4 linked regions of the Caenorhabditis elegans genome follow. The protein of the gene in region 1 purifies or fractionates together with the protein of each later gene. This does not show direct contact. Each region holds a gene or a part of one and is shown in the gene's direction. Other genes may lie near its edges.

What was found.
Region 2: the proteins of pho-8 (region 1) and scl-2 fractionate together in Caenorhabditis elegans (co-fractionation; one large-scale study listed by BioGRID). This does not show direct contact.
Region 3: the proteins of pho-8 (region 1) and E04F6.8 fractionate together in Caenorhabditis elegans (co-fractionation; one large-scale study listed by BioGRID). This does not show direct contact.
Region 4: the proteins of pho-8 (region 1) and gba-4 fractionate together in Caenorhabditis elegans (co-fractionation; one large-scale study listed by BioGRID). This does not show direct contact.

The regions. Positions count from the first base shown.
Region 1 is NC_003283.11:11,831,434-11,836,276, forward strand, and holds pho-8 (intestinal acid PHOsphatase), read left to right. Parts: upstream 1-2,185; 5' UTR 2,186-2,211; coding exon 2,212-2,391; intron 2,392-2,758; coding exon 2,759-2,851; intron 2,852-2,900; coding exon 2,901-3,056; intron 3,057-3,242; coding exon 3,243-3,662; intron 3,663-3,707; coding exon 3,708-3,827; intron 3,828-3,932; coding exon 3,933-4,067; intron 4,068-4,113; coding exon 4,114-4,218; 3' UTR 4,219-4,275; downstream 4,276-4,843. Other genes in the region: nphp-4 (uncharacterized protein), read right to left, coding at 1-136, 981-1,126, 4,525-4,652.
Region 2 is NC_003282.8:13,055,866-13,059,765, forward strand, and holds scl-2 (SCP domain-containing protein), read left to right. Parts: upstream 1-1,844; 5' UTR 1,845-1,856; coding exon 1,857-2,030; intron 2,031-2,081; coding exon 2,082-2,219; intron 2,220-2,389; coding exon 2,390-2,601; intron 2,602-3,033; coding exon 3,034-3,133; 3' UTR 3,134-3,197; downstream 3,198-3,900. Other genes in the region: scl-1 (SCP domain-containing protein), read left to right, coding at 526-693, 839-976, 1,024-1,241, 1,297-1,396; scl-3 (SCP domain-containing protein), read left to right, coding at 3,763-3,805, 3,857-3,900.
Region 3 is NC_003280.10:7,210,177-7,213,301, reverse strand, and holds E04F6.8 (Cuticle protein), read left to right. Parts: upstream 1-1,921; 5' UTR 1,922-1,922; coding exon 1,923-2,009; intron 2,010-2,158; coding exon 2,159-2,383; intron 2,384-2,429; coding exon 2,430-2,504; 3' UTR 2,505-2,551; downstream 2,552-3,125. Other genes in the region: E04F6.9 (Periplasmic protein), read left to right, coding at 1,146-1,229, 1,276-1,500, 1,545-1,622; E04F6.15 (DeHydrogenases, Short chain), read left to right, coding at 3,033-3,089.
Region 4 is NC_003282.8:5,344,687-5,352,678, reverse strand, and holds the start of gba-4 (Putative glucosylceramidase 4), read left to right. Parts: upstream 1-1,781; 5' UTR 1,782-1,840; coding exon 1,841-1,907; intron 1,908-3,257; exon of another isoform or gene 3,258-3,330; intron 3,331-3,749; exon of another isoform or gene 3,750-3,770; intron 3,771-3,957; exon of another isoform or gene 3,958-3,978; intron 3,979-4,117; exon of another isoform or gene 4,118-4,138; intron 4,139-4,383; exon of another isoform or gene 4,384-4,404; intron 4,405-4,858; exon of another isoform or gene 4,859-4,879; intron 4,880-4,991; coding exon 4,992-5,174; intron 5,175-5,462; exon of another isoform or gene 5,463-5,471; coding exon 5,472-5,621; intron 5,622-5,666; coding exon 5,667-5,973; intron 5,974-6,022; coding exon 6,023-6,263; intron 6,264-6,380; exon of another isoform or gene 6,381-6,404; intron 6,405-6,795; exon of another isoform or gene 6,796-6,816; intron 6,817-7,080; exon of another isoform or gene 7,081-7,105; intron 7,106-7,200; coding exon 7,201-7,477; intron 7,478-7,524; exon of another isoform or gene 7,525-7,545; intron 7,546-7,612; coding exon 7,613-7,845; intron 7,846-7,851; exon of another isoform or gene 7,852-7,872; intron 7,873-7,944; coding exon 7,945-7,992. Other genes in the region: Y4C6B.7 (Activin_recp domain-containing protein), read left to right, coding at 383-434, 482-561, 775-880, 1,096-1,170. UniProt on the Caenorhabditis elegans protein: Glucosylceramidase that catalyzes the hydrolysis of glucosylceramides into free ceramides and glucose. C.elegans contains specific sphingoid bases, which are unique or different in structure compared to the sphingoid bases found in other animals.

The DNA.
Region 1 (4,843 bases):
CAAAATACATTTCACATGGAAGTTTTCCCATAGGTGGAACTGACAACAGACTATCCGTAATTTTTACAATATCAGAATTTGATGTGGTGATTCGGAATGTCTTTGGTAAACCATATGGGTTTCTTATCGGGATTCTCTGAAAGAAGGGTTTTCGTCAAAAAAAGGTTATGACCCCAGATTGGTTTTTTTTCTGTAAAATCATTTAAATAAGGATTTCTCATATAAGCTTAAATTATACAATATCCAAATAGGTTTATAACCCTAGAAAACGCCATATTCTAAAGGACCTCACTTTGTTTTTTTTTCAAACTATGTAAAATTGAAATCAATTGAGATGAACAGTTTCTATAATATTAATGATTGTTGTAAGAGCTTTAGACTATTCTACCAGGAAAATAGTTGTACTTCGTTATTTTATACATAAACTTCTTCGACAAATTTTTCACACTCTAAGAAGTTGAATATTTTTCATTGACTTATTAGGACTGTCAGGGAAATGCTTAAAGTTCTCGGAAACCAACACAGAGAACACACATACATTTGAGTTGTTCAGTCCATCGGTTTGTTTTCAAATTGAAAAAAAACCTCCTTATAGTCTAAATTTGAATTTTGTTATCTGTTGTTTCTCTGATTCATTTCAAATTTTAATTATTTGCTAGCATGACAATGAATAACAGTAAACAAAAACATTCTTACTGTACACAAATTTTGAAAAAATGTTATTTATTTTAATGTTAGATGTGTTTAGTTTGAACGGATTTTTTACCTTATTCTGAAAGTTGTCTGTTGCATGCTAGCCAAATAAAGAAGTATCATGAAAATCACAGTTTCATGCCCCAAAAAAATTAAATTTAGTGAGCGATTTTGACTTTAAAAAATTCTTGTTATTTTAGTTAAAATAATAGTTTGAAATGTTTGGAAATTACTGTCGATCCAAACTAAAAATCTTTAACATTCAATATTATATAAATTCAACAAACCTTTCTAATAGCTTCATCAGATGATGGAATTTGTATGACAAACTTCTGCGTAATCCGTGGCGCTTCAGACTTTCCGTAAACCAAAAACCCTCGTTCTAACTTCAATGTATTGGTATTCACAACAGAAACGACAAGCTTCTTTGTTCCTGAAACAACACGTGAGGTCATGAAAACGCGGGGGTACTAATCGGATGAGTTTGTGAAATTTGGAATTTTAAATGACTTTGTGGATATTTCTCGCCTGGATGCGCCTAGTTTGCACGTGGAATCAACTATTTTTGCAACTATACTGAACATTTTCTTCATGGCTCTGATGTATGTCTAAGAAGATTAAAATGCAAGGAGAGATAACATTTTTGCGTTTTTTCGACCGTATCAATTTTGTGAGCTTCATTTTTTGGATGTATTTGTTCGTTTTTTGAAATAAATGTACTTATGATCTTTCCTAACTTTCGATTTATTGTCATTTCTTTATCAATATATATATTTCAAACAATTTTTTTGCTGAAAAGCAATATTCGGAACAATTCGATCATAATTGCATTCTGCAAGTTAAAATTGTGTCCCTAATGTAAGTTTCCTGACGACTTAAGAACATGACAATTAAAATTAAGCAATAGATGTATGTAGATTATTTTTTGATTATAATGGGTTGAATAAAAATGTATTCAGTTACATGGATTCAAAGAGTAGTAGTCATAAATAAACTCGCGAGGTGCTAGGTGAGGTAGCATATTCGAAAATACATAACTTTGTAAAAAATGCTAGAAAATACCACAAACATCATCGATAAGCTACCAGCGAATAGAACATTGGCGGGCACTACTGTTTTTTGCTGCACTAAAATTTCAAGACCGATCGACAAAATTCTCCGTATTTGTTTCCAAATTCGGGAACTTCAAACCCAGTATTCGTTTTAGATAAAAAATCATTTTTTTCCGTGGGAGTAAAATGTTAACTGATAACAAAACTTCATACAATTAACAGTCTTTCGACTCCTCCCCACTTTCACTTTCTATTTAAATCCAACTACACCGCACTTTTGCTCTATTTTGGAACATACTCGTCTCAATTTCGACGACGTCAAAAGAATCAGAATTTCCGTCATCAGATAGCGTGCGATTCTTGTATGTAACCTGATAGACCTGCATGAGAACTCGTCCCCTTTTTTGCGACTTTTCTGTCCGGTATTCACTTTTTCAATTTTTTGCAGAGATTTCTAGACGACGTGATGATGTTGATACAAGGACTTGTCATATTTCTTGCCGTGTTCAATAATATAGAATCTAGGAAACTTGAGTTTGTACAAGCACTGTGGCGACATGGAGACCGTGCTCCTCTACACTTACCGTATCCAAATGACCAGTACACAGAAAAAGCTTGGTCAAGGGGATGGGGGCAGTTGACTTCGGTTTGTTTTATTAAACTTTTAAAGAAATGTACTTGTTGAATATTTGTGAGTTCTTACGCGATCTTCTATCATATCACAATAAAATTATAATTACATTTAATTTGTTTCAGCTATAAAGAGTGACCTAAAAAACGGAGCAGAAAAAATGTTTAACATCTCCCAGTGACGCTCAAATAACCAAATATCACAGGAAAAGTGTCAAAATTTTTGGTTATAAATTTTGGATATAGTTTTTTAGAACTGACTATAAATTATGAAAATCTCAAATATCTTATAGTGTTTTAATTAGTTTTTCTGATTGATTTCAAATACACGTTGACAAAACCTTCACTGGCGCTACTTTGCCTTAAAAACCTATTTATTTTAGATTGGAATGCAACAACTTCACGAGCTCGGAGAGTTCTTCCGACACCAATACGTGGACTCTTCATTTATTCCGTCTAATTTTTCAGTGAAAGAAGTAAGAAACTCAATACCATATCTGTAAATTAAACTCTTGAAATTTGTAGGTCTACCTGCGCTCTTCCGATTCTGATCGTGCTTTGGTATCTGCACAAGCATTTCTTTACGGGCTATACCCAGCTTCTGGTGGTTATCAATGGAGCTCAGATATAGACTGGCAACCTCTTCCAGTACATGCATCTACTCCAGGAGAACCTGATTTGGTAACCGTTGATTTTTAGATTTAAACTAAAGTTGTTCTTATGAGGTTTTATCACAAATGCGTCAGAAAGACAAAAGAGATTAGAAAGTACGTAAGAACAACTGATAAAACATTTTGAAGCCCAATTTCTATTTCCGGAGAGTGACTATTCATTATAGACTACATTTACTAAGATAAACTGATTCAGGTGTGCAAACCAACTGCGATAAAATGTGCTCGTCATGAAGTTTTAGTGGCTCAAGGCGATCAAGAATCAAACGCTTATTATAGTGTTAAGTATGCAGACTTCTTCAGTGAACTTTCTCAAACTACAGGATTCAAACACTGTTCATATATGGATATTAATGGATTATTCGATATACAAAGAGAGTTGATTCATAACATGACTGCAAAACAGCCTTATTGGGTTACACAAACCTGGCCTCAATATGACAATCGTACTTCAATGGACATTATAACTGAAATGAGGACCGTTCGAATGATGAATCTATTTAATTCAGAAGAGAAAGGAAAACTTGAAGGAGGCTCCGTTCTTTACAATTGGATTCAAAATGCAATTGCAGTTTCTGAGAGCAGAAATGATCAGAGAATGCTTCTTTATTCTTCGGTAAAATCTAATGGAAACTGAGAAAATCTATTATATTAATTTCAGCATGATGGTGTTCTTCTTGCACTTCTCAATGCATTCCGTGCTTCAAATGAGATGATGGTTCCTTATGCGGCTGCACTTATCATGCATGTTTATTCAGACAACGGAAAATTTTATTCTGAGGTTAGTTGTTCAATTGAAATAAGTTTTATTAGGAAACTTGGTTAACAAAAAATTATTTATATTTTCTTTCAAATTAATGCTGATGGTTCATTTTAATTTATTCAGCTCTACTATCGAAATGAGACTACATCGGATCCATACAGAATTCCGCTTTCCCGATGCCCGGAACCTTGTGAAGTGTCGCAATTGGCAGTGGCTTTTTCAAATATGACAGTTACAAACTACTCGGATATGATGACGGTAAGCATAATCTTCTCATTATAGACCAAAGTTCGCATATTTTCAGTTATGCGGGACTCCTCTCAAAGCATGTGGAAACTCGTCTTACACGTTCAACTCTTTATCATTTTTCTTACCATTTCTCTTAGCGAGTTTATTTTATTCAAAATGAACTAGATCTTAACATTGGTTCCCATGGAACCATTAAATAAATTATTGCTATCTTACATTTTAAATGGTTAATGTTTTATAGAGCAAATTTAGAAAACCCAAAAGAGTTGAGTAAAGATTGACGACAAATATCCTTGGTGTATTTTTCTCTATTTTTGTGTGGAATAACGGTATTGCTCTTTGCACTTTTAGATATTGTAAATAATTTTCTGAACATTTAACGGGTAAATAGAAACGTTTTCATTTTTGATTTGACAGTACGCAAGTGCTCATATGTATATCACATTTTGTTGTATTAAAGGCTTACCAATAAAGTTTGGTGTAAAATCAATTGTGGCTGTAGGTGTTCTTTCAGTGAGCACAGAATCCACAACTTTCATACATCCAGATGCTGTATACACTTTCAGTAAATCATCTGGCACTCCATCATGCTCGCTGAAAATAAACAGATAAAGAACGTAATTCCTATCATTTTGTTTATTGTTCATCTATTCTTCATTTTTTGTGTGTTGTTTTCTTCTGAATCCCCACCAGATGAGAGTGTGGGAGAGAAAAAGAGCGACCAGGTGTTGGAATCCAAGCATTTTTATTTTTTGTTTTCTTCCCGCGGGGACCAAACAACTGGC
Region 2 (3,900 bases), on another chromosome or scaffold:
TCCTCAAGTGTAAATCCTGGATTGAAGTAAGAATCCAGTCGGCGAATATTGAATAAGTTAAATTTAAAATTACAGATAAATTACGATTTAGTTTATTATAATTATTAATATTAATGAGGAAATCAGTACTTACTATATTTTTTGTCAAAGTATAAAGTTTTGTTAATAAAGTTTTGTTCCAGTTTTTTGCTTGATTCTCTAGTAATTATTCGAGTACAAACCAGGGGTGGGCGGCAAATTTACCAAATTTGCCGAGTCGAAAAGTGTGTGGGTTTGAAGCCCGATAGCATAATATTTTCAGTCCGGCTGATCTTTTTGATATCCGTAAAAAGCTCAATTTGTTGTTGTTATTGACCAAATCGTTTGGATCATTTATGAGTTTTCTCTACAATGGACAAAAATAAAGATTGTTGTTGTTTACGTTTTGCAAATATTAAAAGTTATTTGAAAATCTCGTACTTGATTAAAAAACTCCTCTCATAAAAAGCAGCACGTTTGCAACTTTAAATCATAATTTTGTTTGCCATGTACTTCATTCTCTGCCTCCTAGCAATTGGTGTCAATGCTCAATTCACTTCAACTGGTCAATCAAGCATTGTGGATGCTCATAACAAATTGAGATCCGCTATTGCAAAGAGTACCTATGTTGCGAAGGGAACCAAAAAAGAACCAGCAACTGATATGAGGAAAATGGTAGGTTTTAAATTGCCCAATTATGTCAAATAAAAAACTTAAAGTTTTCTTTTTTCAAGAGTTTCAAGTCATTCAAGTTGGGGTAACTTTTGGCAATCATATTTGAACAAAAAGCCCAATGATGATACTTCAATAAACTTTTCAGGTCGTGGATTCCACCGTAGCTGCGTCGGCTCAGAATTATGCGAATACGTGCCCAACTGGACACTCAAAGGGAACTGGATATGGGGAAAATTTGTATTGGTCTTGGACTTCTGCGGATGTTGGATCCTTGGATTCCTATGTGAGTCGCATAACTTTTCTGGGACAGAAATCAATAATTCTTTCCAGGGAGAAATCGCCGCTGCCGCATGGGAAAAGGAATTCCAAGACTTTGGCTGGAAGTCTAACGCAATGGATACCACCCTATTCAACAGTGGAATAGGACACGCTACTCAAATGGCTTGGGCAAACACCAGCTCCATCGGGTGTGGAGTCAAGAATTGTGGACGAGACGCATCGATGAGAAATATGAACAAAATAGCTGTAGTCTGCCAGTATAGTCCACCGTAAGCACTGAAGTTTTTGATTTTTTTTAACTCAAAATTGTTCAAAAATATTCAGAGGAAACACTATGGGACGGCCGATTTATAAGGAAGGAACTACGTGTTCCAGCTGTTCCGGATCTACTAAATGTGACACTGCTTCTGGGCTTTGCGGATAATGAGAGATTTCACTTTTTGTGTCTGTAATTTTTTAATTTATTTGTTTTGTTTTAATCTGGGAATTAATTTACTAATGAAGCATTTGTTTTTTCTTGGTGATTATATAAAAAAAATAAAGCGAAAACTTTAAATTACACCAAACTTTTTTAAAATTTACGAAAATGCACACAACATCAAGTGCAGGCAAAAGTAAAACATTCTACTTGCCTATGTGCCAACAACAAAATTAGGAAGAAAATTCACTTCTTCCTAATCAGAATACTTGTTGACTTGACTCAAATGTTCATAATTACTGATAAAAGTCAATTCTTTGGTCTTGTGCTGCCCACTTCCGATCATACGTAGCTTACGATTTCTCAATTATCATACAATTTTACAGGTTTTCGCGTGATAAGACTCCTATAAAATGAACCGCAGTGATAAACATATTCGTGTTGACTTGCACTTTTTTCTCCAATTATGAATTACTTGTTGCTGGTTGTGGCGCTTGCTGTTGGCTGCTCCGCTGATTTCGGCTCTTCCGGACAAAACGGAATTATCAATGCACATAACACTCTGCGGTCTAAAATTGCAAAAGGTACCTACGTGGCAAAAGGAACTCAGAAATCGCCGGGAACAAATCTGTTGAAAATGGTATGTACATAACTAAGGTTCTCAGATTTATTTTTGATTTCAACTTTTCAGAAATGGGATTCCGCAGTCGCCGCATCCGCCCAAAACTACGCAAACGGGTGTCCGACGGGACACTCTGGAGATGCAGGCCTTGGGGAGAATTTGTATTGGTATTGGACAAGTGGATCTCTGGGAGACCTCAATCAATATGTCAGTCATTTAGTCTACCTTGTGCCTGCCTGCCTAGACCTACTGCCTATTTTGTTCAAATTTTGCCTAAATACAACATGCGAATATTGGCAGTAGGCAGGAGGCAGGCGCTTGATACCTTCTTTATTTTAAAAGTTTCTGAAATTTCTATAATCAATCTTTTCATTCAGGGATCTGCTGCGTCGGCATCATGGGAAAAAGAATTCCAAGATTACGGATGGAAGTCTAACCTTATGACTATCGATCTCTTCAACACAGGAATCGGACACGCGACTCAAATGGCGTGGGCGAAATCCAACCTGATCGGATGTGGAGTCAAGGATTGTGGAAGAGACTCAAACGGCCTGAACAAAGTAACCGTCGTGTGCCAGTACAAGCCGCAGTAAGTGAGATTTGTTGACTAGTCTATGTTGACTGTGTCTGCGAATGTTGTGTTTTGTGTTGTTCTCTAGGATAGGTTTGCAAAAAAGATAAATTTTTGGTCACGTTCCCTGAAACAAAATCCAAAAAATTAGGCAATTTTCAACAAATTTTGATCATTTTGAGGAGATCATTAAAAACAAAAAACCCAATAAAAATTATACAAAAATACGAAAAATATTGTTGTTGGCGAAAAGTGAACTGTGCTTCGACAACTGGTAAAGTAGTCTTGAACACTTTGTGAGTTAGGATTTTTCTGAAGAGTAAAAAGTAGTTTTAGGAAAATTAATTTCAACCGAGACAAAATTTTTAACATAAAAAAAAATTGAAAAGTGTATGTGCGAGAGAGCCCTGTTGAATACAAGCTACTGTTTGCTAATACATCAATTTTCAGAGGAAACTTCATTAATCAATACATCTACGTATCGGGAGCAACCTGTTCCGGCTGTCCATCAGGAACGTCATGTGAGACTTCCACAGGGCTCTGCGTCTAAACTTTAATAATGCAATGTGTTTTCAAACTTTCTGTAGATAATAAATAAAATTGTGTGCTAGTTGAAAACCAGAACACAAACAACCTTTGATCAAAATGCCTATGTAACAAATGCGACGATTACGTGTTCGAAATCCTATTGGCAGATTTGGAGTATAATGAGCAGTTAGAACTTTATTGGGAGGTCAAAGACTACTTGTGTCTAGAGATGTATCTAAGTTATGAAAAAAGTTCAAGCTATAGGTTTTTTGACTACGATATCTTGTATGTATTTTCAAAGATGTTGGTGATTTAGTTGAAAGTTAACAGCTTGAAAACGTTTTTATTTTTCCGTTTCTGACTTCCATGAATTTCAAAAAATTACCGTATGTCTGTATTGTTACTATCTACTGTGTGAAATTTCAAAAAATGAAATCCAACTTCAGCCTCCCTTTTGTATATAAAACAAACAATGTCAACATAAAACTCTTACCAATTTAGTCTATTTCTATTAAAGCACACGTTCTTTAGTTTTTTCCCTCTTCCCATGACTTTTAGTTTCCCTCACGGCGACGACGACATCCAGTTGTTCATACAAACTAAAATCTCCTATAAATATCCAACCTACTAGTTGTATTTTCAACAGACAACATGCACACCTTTACTCTTCTCGTTTTGGTTACCCTTCAGATTGGTAAGTTTTTTTTTTGGAAATTTTTGAAACTAATTTTCTTCAATTTTTCAGGAGCTTATGCTCAATTCAGAGAAAGCACTCAACAATTCATTGTG
Region 3 (3,125 bases), on another chromosome or scaffold:
AACACAAAGTTTGTAGAGTATAAAAAGAGCTGAAGAATCTGTAAGGCCTCAGCCTTTGAAACGTTATTCATTTAACTCACAGAACGTATATTTTATATCTGATGTTTAAATTTTTTATTATGCGTTGTAATATTCTGATAATAAGACCGTTTTTTTTTCTAGTCCTAAAAATTATTAGTCGCCTTCAAGTTCGCCTTCAAATTGATTGTTTTAAAACCTGTTTCAATCTTGAGCACACAATCTCGTCTTTTGTGAATTAGAAATAATAATTCATCAAAAATATAGAAGGTGTTTTTGATCAGTTAAAAAAATTCAAAAAAGAAAATTTCCGCTCTATTGATTTCTTACTTTCCATCACAACATAATTCAATTAAGATAGGGACTATAAAAGTTTGCTTGGCCACAAAATGGCATAAATCGGTTTCAGATAAGACACATTCGATTCACCTCTTTTCTTATTTACTAAACTCTTATTAGCGGTAAAGCTAACTACACATACACGTAATTTTTTTGAGGCATAATTATGTATTATCAGTAATTTTTGGAACTCTAAAGTACTCTAATTTATCAATTAAATTATCTTTCCAACTAAAAAACGACATATTAAAAATCGACTAAACATCCTGTAAACTTCACATCTATCAGTAAAAAAAGCTACGCGCCTCAAAACACGACCTTCTCAATCCCATCATTGTGAACTTTCATAGTGTTCTCACATTGATCTTAAGAACAAATAAACTTCCTGATTGTTCCATTTTCAATACTTCTCCAAATGACATTCTTTGAACAGTCTAAGGAAACGAATCCTCATTTTCTAGTTCCGTGTTCCAACTCTGTAGGATTTTTTGTATAACTCTGATAACAAGAAGGATATTTTCTCTCACTCTAGCCAACAAACAAATGATAAAAACAAAGTGATTGATTGCAAAGTGGGCTGGGCGTTTAGTTTAACCAGCGGAGGTGCTTACCCTATTTTTTTCATTCGAAGGCAGTATCTTCTGGCTGACGACACTATTTATTGTTGTTCCAAGAGAAAGGTTTCATCACTTTAAGATTTTGTGCTTTTTCTTTCAATTGTTCTTCTGAATTTCGTGTCAATTCACAAAACTTTTTTCATTCTTGAAAATTAAATAAAATTTCAGAAAATGAACCGCTTCATTCTTTCCGCTTTCCTCCTTGTTGCCATCTTTGCCATATCCGATGCTGCCGTTGCTCAACAGCAGGTTAAGGTTTGTTGTAACTCCTATTTGAAAAATAACAAAAAATCATTTTCAGGACGGAGAAAAAGTTGAAATCGATGCTTTCAAGGGAGCCAAGGCAATCAAGAGAACCGTTGCCGGTGGAGATCAAATCTTCCACCTTGACGGAGATAACAAGGGATCATTTGTTGATGCTAAGGGAAAGAAGATTGAGTCAACCAATTATGAAGCTAATAACGGAATCCTTATCATTAAGAAGTTCACCAAGGCCGATGTTGGAACCTACTCCGAGCACCCAGCTGTAAGTTTTCAGTGGGAGAAATAATTAGAAATGTTTTATTTCAGAAAAACACCGAAACCAAGCACGCTGATGGATCCATCTCCGCTGTTCCAGGACTCACTCTTGATATCTCCCTGCAATAAACAAATTTCATTCGGAATGTGTTCTAATAATTTCTCTAAATAAAATTTTTAAAACAATTTCGTGCAAACTTTGCAAAAATAAACAAAAATGTGAGTCAGAACAGAAATAGGCGTGACCTCTATTCAGTCAACAGGTGACCAATAAATCAAGTCTCATTCGTCACTATTTAATGGGTTCTAGAGATGTTTTCTTTCTTCATTCTTTTTTCTCTCAAAATCATCTGAGAAAACTTTGTTTCAGGAGCTTTTTGAATTGTTTTCAATAAAAGCTTTCCTTAAATTTTTTTTATCATTTTCAGAATGAGCCGGTTTTTGATTTCTTCGTTTATACTGATTGCCTTTGTTCTTCAGTTTGGAGAAGGATCAATTGCAGTTCAAGAAGTTAAGGTTTGTAAAGTTTTTTATCTGACAATAGTTTAAAAACTGTTGTTCATGCTTCTACAGGAAATTTTAAATGTATTTCTCAAAACTACTCGAAACTTCAAAAGTTTTCTTATTTTGAAATACCAAGTAGTATTTTACAAATTCCATTTTAGGATGGCGAAAAAGTGCAAATTGAACTTTTCAAAGGAGCCAAGGCAATCCAGAGATCCGTTGACGCTGGCGAACAGATTTTCCATTTCGAAGGAGAAAACAAAGGAGTGTTTGTGGATGCTAATGGAAAAGCTATTGACTCGTCAAATTATGAAGAGAATAACGGACATTTGGTCATCAAAAAGTTCACAAAAGCTGATGTTGGATCATATTCTGAATATCCAACGGTATTGAATTCCTGAAATTCCCGAATTGAAAAAGTATTAATTTCAGAAAATTATCAAAACGAAAACGGATCATGGATTTTCTGGAGTTGCCGCGCCAGTTCTCAAACTTTCTCTTCAATAACTTTTAAAAACTGTTTCAATAAATTCTTTTAAATAACAATAAATTGTTTGCAATATTTCGTAAAAACCTGTTTGAAGGAATTATTTAACCATTATTTGGAAAAGAAATTTGAATGTAGTAACTGTTTCACGCCCACAAAAAGTTCTGTTAAAATATCTCCAGAGCAAATTCCGCACTGATCTGTTAAATATTTTCTGTAACACTATTTCTATTTTTACTATTTTTTTCGGCTATTTAAAATTAAACCGCAAGACAAATAGGGAAATTAGTGTGATTTTTAATTCCAATAAGGCGAATCTTATAGTAAGTTTTTTTCTTATTCGAAAGTACTACTTTACTGATAAGAAAATGAAAAATCATTCAACTTGCATCGATCATTTTCCTCGTTTCACCTGAAAATATGACATGAATATAGAGATAAATATGTCAATTTAGCTACAGTTTTACCAATATTCATTGAACTTCACATCATAATTTCTCAATATAAAACAGGAAATTCAGAAACTCATCAATTTTTTCATTTTCAGAATGGTTGCTGATGGTAAGAGGAAACGGCAGTTTCATTCAAGAACAAATGCACTAGAAGTAAGCGTTCTTTTAGTATTAAATGTTTCATCAATT
Region 4 (7,992 bases), on another chromosome or scaffold:
GCAAAAACTTAGAATTGTGTATTCTGGTAATTTCTAGCCCATTGTCAACCTATCGACCGAAAGAATGTAATTAGTCAAACATGGTGAAATATATCTTCTAGTTGAAACTGTAAATCAAAAAGTGACATGTAAGCTCATTTTTGTGTGTAACTTTTAAAAAATCTCTCTGAGATCCAAGCTTATTAATAGTAAAACAAAATTAAAGTGAATTCTTAATTTCTAATCAGAAACAGTAAAACAGAAACAATGAAATTTTTCTTGATTTCCTTTAACTCAAATAATAAAAATTTTTCTGTTTCACATGTTCTTTAAAACTCATTCAATTTAATTGTTTAACATTACATGCTTAACATTACGCCCAAGAATAATAATAATTTTGCAGACGTGAATGCAGTTCGTGGAGCGATGAGCACAGTATGGAGGAGAAATGTCCGGTTGGTTCATTTTTTTCTGAGCATCAGACAATTTATATCAATTTTAGATGACCGGATGCCATTTCCAAACCAAAGATTCCACTTTTTGTTGCTGCCAGTTTGATGAGTGTAACGAGTGGAAGGGAGAGTAAGTTACTTTTTTTTGTGAAACTTTTTTGAAATAGGAAATACGAAAATTTTAGGTACGAAATACTTACAAGAATTTTTAAATAGATTCCAAAGAAAAAAAGAAAAAAATATATAAAGATTCATTACACATTTTTAGAAAAAAAGTTGAATCGAAAAATCTTAAAGCAGACTTCATCTATATATTGGCTATTTTTAAAACAATTTTTTTCAGCGGAACCGAGTTCAAAGCCGGAGAAACTAGCTCAAAATCGAAAGCTGTTCCAAGTGCTCCAAAACTCGGTGACGTCATCATGCCAACTGCAGCAACCCGTAAGAATGTTCGTGTGCATTGAAATTGCTTTATAGGATGAGATCAATTTTCTAATGAAATTTGAAAATCAAGTAAAACTTGTGAAACAGTAATTTTTTCAAGTGACTAAAACAATTGCTTGCTGATTTGAACCAAAATGCTGAACTATTATGGTTCAGTTGAAATTTTAGTTTTCAAATTATTTAAATAACACTAAAATTACAGCAAAATTTAAACTTTCAGAAAAGTGAAGACATCGTTCAAATTCCAACTACTGTCGCTCCAACCAGGAAGAGCAGTTTTGTCGAGCTTCCTTGATTTCTTAATAAAAAATTTATTATTTTTCTAATGGTTTAAAATTTTCCCTAACTGATTAGTTCATTTTGCATGAAATAAATGTTCAAAATAAAAAAAAAGCCTTTTAACAAAGTTTTCAAAAAATAATAAAATTTACAGAAGCATCAAAACGGTTCGTTCCAACTCGTACTTCTTCTATAATTGAAATCTCATTAAATTGTGCAAGTTTTTTTTTTATGAAACGACAGTAAAAAGCATACCATGAGAGTGTTATTACATTAATTTTTCCCACGTAATTAAATTTAAACACTGAAACGGTAAAATTTTTTGAACCTGCTAATAATATGTTAAAGTTCCAATTTCTTTATTGTTTTCAGATCACTATAGGTGACAACATGTAGCTCACTCACGCTCATACCACGAACTTTATCATACCATGATTTGTCCATTGCCCCCGTCATTATCTATATATGTCCTGCATAGTTAGCAGCCTGAAACCAATAATTTATGTGTTTTCCCTTCTTTTTTCCATAATTTCTTATCAGTTTCAATTATTTTTTGATCAGAATATTCCAACTGATTAGTCTTTATAAAAACGTGGTCAGTGTCTTCAAATATTGTTCTTATCATTTATTCATTAGTAGTCTTGGAAAGTGTCCGGTTTTAACGGAATACACTAGACTAGGCTATCATGATTTTGAATATATCCGTTTCTTTGCTAATATTTCTGGCGTTTTATGGATTTTCAAGCGATGCAAGTGAGTAGTAGAAGTGCCTGGAAGTGTTTAGAAAAGTTCTAAAAAAATATTACTGTTTCTCACTAGGGAGTGCTTTCACTATACGGTGCGATCGAGTAAAAGTAAACGTGTTATGCGATAGCTGGCATCTTAGGCTTTCAGAATCTGTAATTTGTTTCGGCGGAAGACCTCTGTGAGTCTGGAAATTTTCATCTGAAAATGTAGTACTGAAATCAGTTCATTTCCTATGGTTAACAGTGGATTTTGTCTCTGGCGCCAACAGAAGTCTCACCACAATGGTGGAAGGGCGAAATCATCGCTTCGGTGGTCGAGTGGTGAACGCGTTCGCCTCTTGAGCAGAAGTTTGTCGGTTCGGTTCCCACACATGGTTTAAATTTTGGGTTCTTTTATACAAAATTTTTAGAACGGGAAACAAATGTTTAAAACAGTTTTTTGAGGTTTTTACATTACTTTTTTGCTTTTTGATTGAACCACAATTACCCTGGAAACTTTTCAGAAATTTTTATTTTTTTCGAAAATTGCCACTTTTTTCTCCCATGAGAAAATTGGTTCCAAAAATTTTGTTTGAAATTTTTTCAAAAATGTATGAAATATTGTAGAGTGTCACGAATAACTTATTTTTCATTGTTTTCAATGACCGAATCACTGATTCTGATGCCGTATCAAGACGTTTTACCAAATCGATATTGGCAAAACATCTTGTTTTTGAGGCTCCATATCTCTGCAGAAAAAATCGCACTAAAAAGTGATCAACTAGAAACTTGTTAAACACAATGTGATCTAAAACTTTTCAGTTGAACACTTTTTTGTAAAAAATTTGGTTCCCAAGATATAGACCTTTAACTATTTAGAATATTCAAAAATAATGACGCTCAAATCAATTGGTTCCAACCTGGCAACCAAATTTTTTACAAAAAAGTGTTCAACTGAAAAGTTTTAGATCACATTGTGTTTAACAAGTTTCTAGTTGATCACTTTTAGTGCGATTTTTTTCTGCAGAGATATGGAGCCTCAAAAACAAGATGTTTTGCCAATATCGATTTGGTAAAACGTCTTGATACGGCATCAGAATCAGTGATTCGGTCATTGAAAACAATGAAAAATAAGTTATTCGTGACACTCTACAATATTTCATACATTTTTGAAAAAATTTCAAACAAAATTTTTGGAACCAATTTTCTCATGGGAGAAAAAAGTGGCAATTTTCGAAAAAAATAAAAATTTCTGAAAAGTTTCCAGGGTAATTGTGGTTCAATCAAAAAGCAAAAAAGTAATGTAAAAACCTCAAAAAACTGTTTTAAACATTTGTTTCCCGTTCTAAAAATTTTGTATAAAAAAGGCCAAAATTTAAACCATGTGTGGGAACCGAACCCACAAACTTCTGCTCAAGAGGCGAACGCGTTCACCACTCGACCACCGAAGCGATGATTTCGCCCTTCCACCATTGTGGTGAGACTTCTGTTGGCGCCAGAGACAAAATCCACTGTTAACCATAGGAAATGAACTGATTTCAGTACTACATTTTCAGATGAAAATTTCCAGACTCACAGAGGTCTTCCGCCGAAACAAATTACAGATTCTGAAAGCCTAAGATGCCAGCTATCGCATAACACGTTTACTTTTACTCGATCGCACCGTATAGTGAAAGCACTCCCTAGTCAGTTATGATATGACAAATTGTCATATCATGACTGAGAAACAGTAATACTGGAACTGAATTCAATGGAACTGAATTCTCAATAATCATTTAATAACTTCTATTTAAAAAAATTTAAAAATTCCCATTGAAAAATATTGCCGTTTCCGAGGTATAATATTTGAGTTAGTATTTGTATTACTTAATTCGTGCAATTCGAACAAATCTTTTTTTAAACAAAATGTGGAAATTGTGGAAAGTTGATACAGAAGTTTTACAAATTAAAAATACAAATTAAAACAAATATCGAGCATGAAAAATGCATTTGAAGCTACAACTTTTTAATATTTATTTTCACAAAAAAAACTCTGTTCCAACATGATCTGTTAAAATCCCACACTTTTATGATTCTGTTGCGAACAAGAAAATGTATTAGATATAACTGTCCTCAAATGCGTTTATAAAATTTCAATAAATGCGAACCAAATGTGACTAAAACGGACAAATCTGGACTTTTGCACTCAGAAATCGATTAAATTAAGACCCTAATTCTTAGTTCGGATTCGTCAGTTTTGCTACATCTAAATTGGATTCAACGATAACAATATTTTTTGAAGACTTCTAAAGATTATGTGAAACGGTATTTAAAAAAAAATTTGTCATTTCAAAAATCATTGTAGACATCAATCTTAACATAATTGCCAACATGAAAAGTTTCTACTGCTCCGAGGTAAAAAAAAGTAAAAAAAGAAAAAATTCATAACTTTTTGTTGTTATCCCAATAAAAAATTACTGTTTCTGTGTTATAATATGAGTTTTGGATTGGTATTGAATTGATAATAGTATCTTTTTTCAATATTTGAGCAATGATTTCATTACGCTTATACACATATGTATCAGATTTTTTCAAATTGTCAAACATTTGAATTATCAGAGTTTACAATTAACAAACCTTAATTAATAGATAACAGATAACAGTTATAATTTTTTTTAGGAAAATAACTCAGTTTCAATCTGCTAAATGCAAAATTTAATATTTTTCTAATCGTAACTATTTTTCTTCAAAATTAATTTTCGTATCCTTTAATCTAAATGGGCAGCAGACTGTAAAAAAATTATTTTAGAAACTTTTTTAGAAAAAATGCTTTAAAAAAAGCTTTTTCATAATTGCATATGCAAGACTAATAGAAGAAATACGGTAATTAATGTATTGTATTCATTGCTTGCAATGTGCAGGCAAAACATGGATAAAACAGTTTTAAAAAATTCCGTTTCAACAAATTTATTTATGAAATGTAAAATTTGAAATATGTATTTCGTATGGTAAAAATTTTCATAACCACAATTTACAGAACTGGAAATAGCTTTAGACATTTTCTAAACACGTAGTCCTGCACAATTTCCAAAACCATTCCAACTAACTAAACACAACTGAAGCCAATTTCCAGAGTCCCTTCCTTGCTCCGAAGTGAAGAAAGAGTATGGAATAGTTTGTCGTTGCAATGCCACGTATTGTGATACAATTGAACCACTTGGAACTGTTACTTCTGGGAAAGCAGTTGTCTATACAACATCAAGAAATGGAAAAAGAATGAACAGAAGTGAATTGAAGCATACAACTTCTTCTACAGGTACGTTAATTGTATAGGAAGTTCCATGAAGGCACAGAATTCTTGCCTGCATTCCTGTCTGCCTGCCTCCAGAATACACCGGAAGCTTATCAGTAACTTCTGGTTCGAAACTGATGCAAAATAGGCGGTAGGCAGGCTCTTAGATAGAGAGGCAGGCACCGCTCAACTAACACAAAAACCTTTATAATATTAGAATTTAGAGAATGATATTTTTTTATTTTGAAGTTGGCAAAAAATTATTCTACTGTTTCACAATTATTTTGTAACAATTGTTGATATGATACATCGTTTTTGTAGCCAAAACAAAAGTATATGTGAACACAACTCAAAGTTTTCAACCGGTAATGGGATTTGGAGCTGCATTCACTGATGCTGCTGGAATTAATATGAAGATGCTGCCACAGACAATGCAAGATCAAATTATTCAGCAATACTTTTCCGATGATGGTAAGTTATTTTCAAAAGATTAAGCTTGAAAAATAAATAATTTAGGTCTCGGGTATGTTTTTGGACGAGTTCCAATGGCTTCAACTGACTTTTCAACTCACGAGTACAGTTATGACGACGTTAAATTTGATTTTGATCTCAAAAATTTCAATTTAACAGTGGAAGATCTCCAGTATAAAATTCCATTTATCAAGAAGGCAATGACAGCTTCTGGAGGGAAATTAAAGCTATTTGCAACTCCATGGAGCTCCCCAGGATGGATGAAAACTTCTGGAAGAATGGTTGGTGCCGGAGAGCTATTGGGAGATCAGAATGGAAAATACTATCAGACATGGGCACAGTACTTTGTAAAGTAAGTTCTTATTTTCAAAGAAATAAAAAATAAAATTATAAAATGAAAGATTCTTCGAAGCCTATCACGCTCAAGGTATTGACTTTTGGTCTTTGACACCACAAAACGAGCCAACAACTGGAATTGATCCACTTTGGAAATGGCAAACACTCTTTTTCGATGCATCAATGGAACGAAATTTTATAAAGAAACTTTTGGGACCAGCACTTGCTTCATCACCAGTGACTAAGAATTTGAAGATTATGATTAATGATGATCAGAGAATTAATTTGCCACACTGGCCAAATGTAGTAAGTTATTGGTGGGATAAAACATTGAGTAATAGGTAGAAATGATTGAATGACTAAAAATTAATTAGATACTGTTTCACATTCAAAATAAATATATTAAAATTATAAACAAAACAGTAATCCAATACGAGAAACAAAACCTCTTTTATTTATTGAAAATTTTCAAAACTTTTATAGCTCTTTCCTTTGTTTATTTTTTTGTTTTCTATTAGGTACTTACCGTTTTTTAACACTATTAAGACTCCATTGTAATTAAGTATTTTCGAATTTTTTTCGAATCAAGACACTAGAACGGTTATTTTAATTTTAAAACTCGCTTTCACCTACAATTATTACTGAATTGACCGAATAGTTCAACAGTTGTGTAAATTGTTTTAGAAAAAATTAAAATCGAACGACAAAATGTGCAAAACTGATAAGAAACGTAATGCTAAAATGGATTTGTTGAAACATTGAAACATATCAGATATTCAAAAATTGTACTGTTTCACATTCAAAATAAATATATATATAGAAATTATAAACAAAACAGTCGAAACAAAAGTACTGTTTTTGGGAATCAAAATTGAGGTATTTTTGAGCTTTCCGTAGTCTTTGGTAAATTATGAAACAAAGTGTAATGAAGTATTTATTGACTAATTGTTAGAATTTGAAGATTATGATGAATGATAATCAGGAAATTATTTTGCCAAATTGGCCAAATGTGGTGAGTTGTCGTTTTGTTGAAACAGTTATGCAACAGTAGGGAAAAACATAAAATAATCAAACTTTGTGCTGTTTTACATTCAAAATAAATATAAGAAAATTATTATTGCCATCAATCTTTCTTTGGCCTTGGGAAGAGTTATCCGCAGAATTTACCTATTTGAATTTTTAACCCTTGATTAAAAATCATATCCCATTCCGACGTCCCCACTCTTTTAAAATAAAATTTTAGATTTTAACGGATCCAACTGCTGCTCAATACGTCCACGGAATTGCAATTCATTGGTATGAAGACTTCATTGACCCAGCAACCGTACTCACTGAAACTCACGAGAAGTTCCCAGACTATTTCCTTTTGGCAACTGAAGCATGTGCTGGATACTTCCCAGCAGATGGACCAAAATTGGGATCATGGTCTAGAGCTGAACAATATGCAAATGATTTGATTAAAGATATGGGAAATTGGGTTGGAGGATGGGTTGATTGGAATTATATTCTTGATTTACAAGGTTGGTTTGTGAAGTGTAGCAACACTTGCGATTTTTTAATTTAAAAACATCAAAAACCATAGTAAGAAACAGATTTAGAATTTTAAATCTTTGATATAACTAGGTTGAAACAGTTTTCTAATATTTATTTTCCAGGAGGACCAAATCTTGCCAAAAACTTTGTCGATTCAACAATAATCGTGAATGCAACTGCTCAAGAGTACTACAAACAACCAATTTGGCATGTAATGGCTCAATTCAGTAAATTTGTGAAACCGGGAGCTATTCGTGTTGGAATAAACATTATTGAGAAATCAGTTGATGTTGAGGGTCTTTCATTTTTGAATCAAGATGGTACCAAAACTGTGGTTTTATTGAATAAAAATGAGGTAATTTAATCAAAAAGAGATAATCCAACATGGAATTATTTATAGTTCTAGTTTATTAAATTTTAGAAACAGTAAAACAAATTTTTATCCAAACTTCAGGTACTCAGCTTCGACGTGGCAATCAGTGACGTCAGTGCTCCAAATGTG